2 linked regions of the Arabidopsis thaliana genome follow. The protein of the gene in region 1 interacts with the protein of each later gene in a pairwise test. Each region holds a gene or a part of one and is shown on either strand. Other genes may lie near its edges. The genes, in order: GATA11 and bbx23.

Evidence for each region.
Region 2: the proteins of GATA11 (region 1) and bbx23 interact in a two-hybrid assay, tested with the Arabidopsis thaliana proteins (one large-scale study listed by BioGRID).

Annotation. Positions count from the first base shown.
Region 1 is NC_003070.9:2,485,251-2,490,099, reverse strand, and holds GATA11 (GATA transcription factor 11), read left to right. Parts: upstream 1-2,014; 5' UTR 2,015-2,242; intron 2,243-2,249; exon of another isoform or gene 2,250-2,282; intron 2,283-2,593; exon of another isoform or gene 2,594-2,684; 5' UTR 2,685-2,697; coding exon 2,698-2,964; intron 2,965-3,253; coding exon 3,254-3,898; 3' UTR 3,899-4,252; downstream 4,253-4,849. Other genes in the region: TPST (tyrosylprotein sulfotransferase), read left to right, coding at 1-53, 142-276, 355-525; AT1G08005 (serine/threonine-protein phosphatase 6 regulatory subunit), read right to left, coding at 4,589-4,756.
Region 2 is NC_003075.7:6,368,232-6,371,847, reverse strand, and holds bbx23 (B-box zinc finger family protein), read left to right. Parts: upstream 1-1,897; 5' UTR 1,898-2,321; coding exon 2,322-2,522; intron 2,523-2,593; coding exon 2,594-2,881; 3' UTR 2,882-3,019; downstream 3,020-3,616. Other genes in the region: AT4G10260 (pfkB-like carbohydrate kinase family protein), read left to right, coding at 27-143, 228-362; ATHSP22.0 (HSP20-like chaperones superfamily protein), read right to left, coding at 724-1,311. UniProt on the Arabidopsis thaliana protein: Probable transcription factor that may be involved in seedling photomorphogenesis.

The sequences.
Region 1 (4,849 bases):
CCAGACGGGTCAACTCTCTGAAGAGAATAACTCCAGCAAATTTTACAAGAGGGGTAAAGTGTTTTCGTACATGATCTAAACTTAGTAAAGTTAATGAGAGAAGGCTGGAATAATGAAATCTTTTGACAATGCATCTAACAGACGCGTACAAGAGTTCCTAAAGAGGTCATTCAGCAGATCAAATCGCTTAACAACCTCGATGTGGAGCTCTACAAATATGCAAAAGTAATCTTTGCCAAAGAACATGAATTAGTGTCGAATAAGTTGATCTCAAGTGTAAGAAACTTCTTGTCTTCACATTTCGCCTTTTAGTTTCTGTCTGATATAAGACTAAACTCCATGATTCGTGTGCAGTCTAAGAGAAGCATTGTTGATCTGCCGAGTGAGTTAAAGAGCGTATTGGGAGAAATGGGTGAAGAGAAGCTATGGAAGTTCGTACCAGTGGCATTGATGCTTTTATTGATCGTCCTCTTCTTTCTATTTGTAAACGCTAAAAGGAGAAGAACCTCCAAAGTTAAGATTTGATCATTGTCACTATATTTTGGACCAAATCAGCAATTTGAAGAAGCTTTTGGGGTCCAATTTGTAATATTATTCTCTTTCTTTTTCTACTTTTCGTGGAAAAAGAAAAAGTTTTGGGTGTTGCCTTACCTTACAGGTGAAAAAGGGAAAATCACAAGTAAAAAAAAACTCTCTATCTACTTTATTTTAAAAGGCTAAACAAAACAGGTAAAGTCACAAAATTAGTGCTTCTTTTTTTTTTTTTGTTTAAGTGAGCTTAATCAATAAAGATAAAAGTAATAAGATTTCACAATTTTTTTTTTTTTTTTTTTTTGAGAAAGTACACTACTAACTGGTTTGAATTTGACTGTACCATTTTTCACGCAACAGACTGTGTGCAATTTAAAGTACAGTTCATACAAATCTCTATAAAACAAATTGTACAAAAGCAGTAAATATACCCCCACGTGATATTTGTTTTCTTATCAACGACGCAGTGTAAACAATAATATGTCAAAAATTTTGAAGAAAAAATCATATAAACTATATAAGAAGAAAAAATGAAAAGAAATATGAAGATCGTGTATATTAATTTTTTTTTATATAAAAAATACTAATAATAATAATTGATTGATGGGAGGAAGATAGTAAGTGAAAGGGATGAAACATATCATGTGGGAGATGGAAGCAAAGAGTTAGGCAAGGGACCCACTTTCCCATGAGGAAACGCCATAATCATCTTTATTATTATTATTATTTCGGTTCTCGTCTCTTAATCCTTCGTCGGTGATCTCTCCATTTCACTTTGACTCTCTCTATTATACTAAAGGTTTTTAGTATATTATGTTAAACCCAACTTATTTGTTTGCTACGTAAATTAAATTATACATCAATTCATGATACTATCTATTATTATTGCTAGAGATCGAGATCTATCAACCATCCTTCCCTCAAGGTTATTTTGCCATGTGCTTATCCTATTTTCCTTTTTAGATCTATTCCACGCAATCATTTCTCTATTTAATTCTTTTGACCATCATTAAGTGTTATTACCATCTTTTAATTTCCATGTCGACATACTATTACCATGTTAAAATGGGTAAATTCTTTCTTTTATCCTTTCATTACACCGACATATATTCCTTAAAACCCATTCAGATAAAATATTTGACTGATATTTTACTTACCTTATATATATCAGCTTTAATGATACAATATCTTTATTAATTGCAAGAAGAGGTTTAATGTTACAGTTGTACCCACAAGTTTTAGTGCAACGTTTTCAATTGACTTGGATTAACTTAACAAATACTATTACTACTTCAGTTAGTGTATATATATATTTATTGACATATGTAAAAGAACCAAAATTGAGTTTTTTTTTTCTTTTTGGTAAAACGCGTTGATAGAGAGATTTTTATTTCTCAAAGAAACTGATTAAGATTTTTCTTTAAAGTTAAGAAAAGCAGTTTCCATAATAATAATTTTCATATACAAGTAAGTAAGTAAGTAAGTAATAGTATTACATTATTATCTATTTTAAATGAATGAATCTCTCTCTCAAAGAAACTGACGAGACATTGAAAACTCCCATCTACCTTTTCTCTTTCTCTCTCTCTCCCTCCCAAAGTCGAACCTGCAATCCCTAAATCCCCAATTTGAGACCATCTCCAGTTCGTCATCGTACGACGACTCTCTCTCTCTCTCTCCTCTTCTCTGTATAGTCGAATTATATTACAAGGTTCGTTGCGTCTCTCTCTCCCTCTCTTTCTCTCGTTAGGGTAAAAGCTTTCTCTTTTATTGTGTCTTGTCTTGCATTTTCCTCTGTTACGTTTTGCGTTGTTTTCGAAAAATGTAGGAAATAAATTTGGTTGCTTGCTTTGTTGGTGTGTGAACCGACACTTATCTCTGTGATTTTTTTAATTAAATTCTCAGTGATGTTTGAAGGAATTGTTTCAATCTTCGTTACCTTAAAATGATGTCGTCATTGTTATTGTATTGGGTAAATTTTCTGTTTTGTAATTGTTTTAGCATATGTCTCTGTCTGATTGTGTCAGAGTTTTGAGTGAAACCCCCAAAGTTTTTTTTTTTTTATTTAACTGGACATGAAGCTGTTTTTGAATTCAGCTTTTGGTGAATTTTACGCTGATTTTTGAATGTGTTTTATCTTTTCTTGGGTACAGTTAGATAGATAGCATGAATTGGTTACCTGAAGCTGAAGCTGAGGATGACTTCAAAGGTCTTCTCTCTGGTGATTTCTTTGATGATCTCATCAATCACCTTGACGTCCCTCTTGATGACATTGATACCACCAATGGTGAAGGAGATTGGGTTGACAGGTTTCAAGACCTTGAGCCTCCTCCCATGGATATGTTCCCCACTTTGCCTTCTGACCTCACCTCTTGCGGCTCTGGCATGGCCAAGGCCCCTCGTGTGGATATTCAAAGGAACATTCCTGCTTTGGTGAGTTCTTTGTTTTTTTTATCACTTTTGCATTTTACTTGTTTTGATTTTTACCCAATTTGAGTAAAAAAAGCTTTTCTACCTGAAATTTTCTTGCTTATTTAGTTACTCATATAATTTGAGTGATGTCAATCTTTCACTTTCCGCTGTGTTTATAACCATAGTTAGCAGCATTCATGTAGAGGGTATTCCTAATCCGAGTATAATCTTGTGTCACTTACTTTACTGGTGCATTGATTGTGTTCCTGATTTTGCAATCCATCTGATTTGTTTGGTTTCGTTGGTGCAGAAACAGTCCTATTCTTCTGAAGCCTTGTCCAGCACTCTCCACCAATCTTCAGCTCCTCCTGAAATCAAAGTTTCGAAACTATTTCAGTCTTTAAGTCCAGTGTCAGTTCTCGAGAACAGTTATGGTTCTCTCTCGACCCACAACAATGGATCTCAGAGATTGGCTTTCCCTGTGAAAGGCATGAGAAGCAAGCGCAAACGCCCCACAACACTGAGACTTAGCTACCTTTTCCCCTCTGAACCCCGAAAGCCCGAGAAGTCAACCCCGGGCAAACCTGAATCCGAGTGTTACTTTTCTTCTGAGCAACATGCCAAGAAGAAACGCAAGATCCACCTGACCACCCGCACGGTCTCTTCCACTCTGGAGGCAAGCAACTCGGATGGGATAGTCCGCAAATGCACTCATTGCGAGACAACCAAGACCCCACAGTGGAGGGAAGGACCCAGTGGACCGAAGACCCTCTGCAATGCTTGCGGAGTGAGGTTCAGATCTGGTCGCCTAGTTCCAGAATACCGACCAGCCTCAAGCCCCACCTTCATCCCAGCTGTGCATTCAAACTCACACAGGAAGATCATTGAGATGAGAAGGAAGGACGACGAACAGTTTGATAGCAGCATGATTCGGGCAGTGATATCCAGAGGGTAAAGCAGTTTTTTTTTTAAAGTTTGGTCTCTGATCCGCAGAAATGGGAAGTCAGTGGAGGAAGAAGATGGTATAAAAGTAGGGTTTAGTGACTGTTTTCAAATCTGATGAAGAGAGTTTAGTGGTTTAGTTCAAGTTAGGGATATGAAATATTTTGTTGTTTCATTATGTGTTTTTATCTTTATCTCTTGGCTGACATTTGTGTATCAGAGGAAAACAGGTGAAGCCAAAGTTTGCTCTCTTTTTTTCGCTATTTCAAATCTATTCTTTTTATTCTTCAATCCCATAATCTTCTTCTTTTTTTCATCTGTTTTACTATTTTGCATTAGTTGAAAAATAAACGCCCATCAAATTCAGTCATGGAGGCTGCTTGCTTATGTACGTATATGATTAATGTTCAACAGAAGGAAACTGAAGTGCAAAAGAGTTTCTATGTAGGTTAAAGACGGACACCTTGGTGGTAAGCTAAGTAACAACTTCCTCTAGCTGACAACAACAGAAACTTAATGATAACAGAGAAAGATTAGAAAACAAAAGCTTTTTTCACAGAGACGAGAGACTCACCTACAAGAAATTTCAACTAAAACCAAGTTTTGTTTCATTACGCTCATACAAAATCACACTGTACAAGATGCTGACTCTAAACTCCAACTTCATGATCCACTTTCCAGTAATTGTTATCGTTGAACTCTTTCATTCCTCAGTCTTTAGGTCCTCAGCCATCTCCTTGTTCATCTTCATCGCTTGCTCCATGCCTTTCTCTGTCACTTGTGCTTCCACTCCCACAAATTCCACGTCCTTATCAAAGAAGGATCTTTCTGAACCGTTTGGAATCAAAGATTCGGTTTTGACGTCAGGCATTGGTAATGTCGAGGCTCATTATGTTCTTGGTGTCATCATCATCGATAAAGAACATTGATCTTTTGGTTGGAGACCTTAGCCTCATGACTTGTG
Region 2 (3,616 bases), on another chromosome or scaffold:
AGTTTTTCGACTGTCGAAAAGCGCAGAAATTCAAAGGGAGAGTGCCTGGATACGCTGTGAAAGCAGTTGACACAACTGGAGCTGGTGATTCATTTGTTGGTGCATTTCTTGTCTCATTGGGAAAAGATGGCTCCATACTCGATGTACGTATAACCAAAGACGTTTTCAGTTCATAGATAAGGCATATGAAATTGAGTTTTGGTGATTGAGTAATGTGAATGTTGCAGGATGAAGGGAAGCTGAAGGAAGCACTTGCCTTTGCAAATGCATGTGGAGCAGTGTGTACTACTCAGAAAGGAGCTATTCCTGCACTTCCCACTCCAGCTGATGCTCAAAAGCTCATGAAATCTAAGTCTAAATAGTTTCAATCTTGTTCTGTTCTGTTTCTGTTTCTTCACTCTTGTCAATTTCCTTGGTTTTCACAGAGTATTTTCTCTGTTATCTGAATAAATCTAGTTTCAAGTTTCTGCCAAAATTGATTCCAAACTAATTCATATACCTTGATTTTTAATTACATGACTAATGTTCTATAACAAATAATCAAGAGGCTCTATAATATAAAGAAATGAACATTTTATTGCATATAGAGAAGGTTACAGAGATTTTGGTAGATAGGTTACAAAACATGACACTCCATTTAGCTTACACAATATGAAACTCAAAACTCTTGGATTTATAATAACTCTCTTCAGACTCAGAAAGTAATATATAGTTTCTTCAATATCAGAGTTCTTTGGATTCAGAAGAGCTGATTTTTGCAGTTTGGTCTTCTTCAGCTGCAATGTTAACAACTCTTGGACCCTTAACTTTTTCAGGAGATAGTTTCGTGAGGTTAATAGTGAGCACACCATTCTCAAGCTTGGCCTTGACTGATTCCATATCTACATTATCAGGTAGCTTGAACTGTCTCCAGAATTTTCCATATGATCTCTCCACTCTATGCCATTGATCTCCTTTCTTCTCTTCTTCTCTTTTCCTCTCTCCACTGACTCGTAAAACTCCGTTCTCCTCCACTTCTATCTTTACTTCATCCTTCTTCAAACCGGGGATATCGAGCATTATCTCATGCCCTTCTGCTGTTTCTTTCCAGTCTACTCTTGCTGGAGACAGAGCCACGCTTGTGTCCCTCTCGAGTCCTAATGGGATTCTCTCCAAGATCTTGAATGGATCAGGGAACCGGTCTAGCCAGAGATCGGATAGCAAGCTGCCTGGAGTAGTTTCAAGTGCAGAAGACAAAGACCCTTCACTTGTTTTGATGTTTCCAAGCAACAAAGCTCCTATGAAGAAGATGCTTAGCAAGTGCTTCATCATGGTTAGTGATTTGGATTTATTGTAGAAGGTTGAAACCAAAATTTTAGGCTTTTAACTTCACTTTCTTATTTTGTTTTCTATGATGGTTAGTCTCAATTCTCTGGTGTATATATAATACACATTGTATGAAGAATGAAGAAGTTTCTTGAAATATCTTTCTTTTGGTAGAGTTTTGCAGAGAGAGATATTGAGATTGTTCTAGCTTTTTTGGCTGTGACTTGTACTAATTATGTTACTACACGTTGGATAAGTTTGTTGTGCCTTTAAGGGTCTTCTCTCATGTTCCAGAGACTTCATGTAAAAACTATGGATTGGATTGGGCCTTAATAGTTATTTATATCCAGGCCTATTTTTATTGGCCCATTATGATATTTGGGACCAATTCTGTTTGTGATGAGTCTTAGAATTTTGGCTGCTGCATGGGAAAGGAATGGGAGAGAGTTTGAATGATGCCATGCTCCATTTCAGTTTCTGACAACATTTTAGAGTTTTTGACCTCTATTGCCCTATGGCTAGTTACTTTTAATTCCACAGTCTTTATGCATATTGTGGTCCTGCCTTTACTTTTGGCTTGCCATGCTTGTGTCTTAAGAGAAGCTTGTCGCTATGTTTGTCAATTTATGTTTTCAAAAGAAAGTAAAACTATACAAGCTTCTGAAAAAGATCTTGTCATGGAGATTTTGGTAGGAGAACATTTATTGGTTTAAATGCCACCCAAAGTTGGTCTAATAACCCCATATTGAGATAAAAATTTCGTCTTCGACATATCGTTGTATATCTATATATAGTTCTCTCTTTTCATGAATAAAGATCATCAATTCCTCTTGGTATCAGAGCCAGGTTTTGATATAACTTATGATCCCACCACACATGTGAACTTATTTAAGCTTGTTCTTTCTTGTTTCCTATATTTAGATTCACTCCTTGTCCTAATTCTCATAAATGTCAAAGAACATTTGTTCTGTCTGTGTATTGGCAATTTACATTGATTTGGATTATAAAGTTGAAGGATGAAGATACAATGTGAAGTGTGTGAAAAGGCTGAAGCAGAAGTACTTTGTTGTTCAGATGAAGCTGTACTATGCAAGCCATGTGACATTAAGGTTCATGAAGCTAATAAACTTTTCCAAAGACATCACCGAGTCGCCTTACAAAAAGATGCAGCCTCAGCCACCACAGCTTCTGGAGCTCCTCTATGTGATATCTGCCAGGTTCCAATCTCTTTTCTCTTTAAACACTCGCTGAGCTCTTTAACCGATGTCTCATATATATGTATATGCAGGAGAGAAAAGGGTACTTCTTCTGCTTAGAGGATAGAGCAATGCTGTGCAATGATTGTGATGAAGCCATTCACACTTGCAATTCTCACCAAAGATTCTTACTTTCTGGAGTACAAGTTTCTGATCAGTCTTTGACTGAAAACTCCGAATGCAGCACTAGTTTTAGCTCTGAAACTTACCAGATTCAGTCAAAAGTGTCTCTGAATAGTCAGTACTCTAGTGAGGAAACTGAAGCTGGAAACTCAGGTGAGATAGTACACAAGAATCCTTCTGTAATCTTAAGTCCTTAGAGATATACACACAACATCATGGTTCCGGAGCCATTGATGTTTAATAATAAAAGTTTCTGTAATATATTATCTTACACAGAAGAAAAACTTGTTGAGGAATCAAATCTTTTTGTTACAACAAATATTAAAACCATGACTTAACAACTAAAGTCAGTGGTCATGGCATCGACACAACCAAAGCTAAGTTGTTCCAATAGTTTCAAGAATTGTAGAAATGTGAATACTATTTGAATCGATCTTAGATATATAAACAAAATTTAAAAAATGAATAAATAATTATTGATTAAATATAATTATTTATCTCAAATATCAAGACTTGGATAGAAAATGCATAACTTAATGAGACAGTCATAGATTACTACTATTAGCTCTTGTACTTTCTTTTTGCCTCACTACAAGAACTATAGACCTTGTTGGATTTGAACCAACGTTGGAACATAACTGATTAAGAAGTGACCATTGAGATTCTTCCTCATCATGATCCAATTGTATACATTTATCTTCTCCCACAACGTGTAAAAAAACGTTGGAGACCCCATGCTTACCACGACACACCAAAACTTTGTTCTCCTGGTCGACCAAAAATTTATCCCACTAGCAAACCAAAAAGGCTTGTAGAAACTTTCTCCATGACGCGGCTCCGGTACCGTCAATCTTAGTTGCAATCCCTACATGATACATCTATATCGCCTACTCGCATGCCACGAGTAGCTAACATACAACATTTTTGATCTT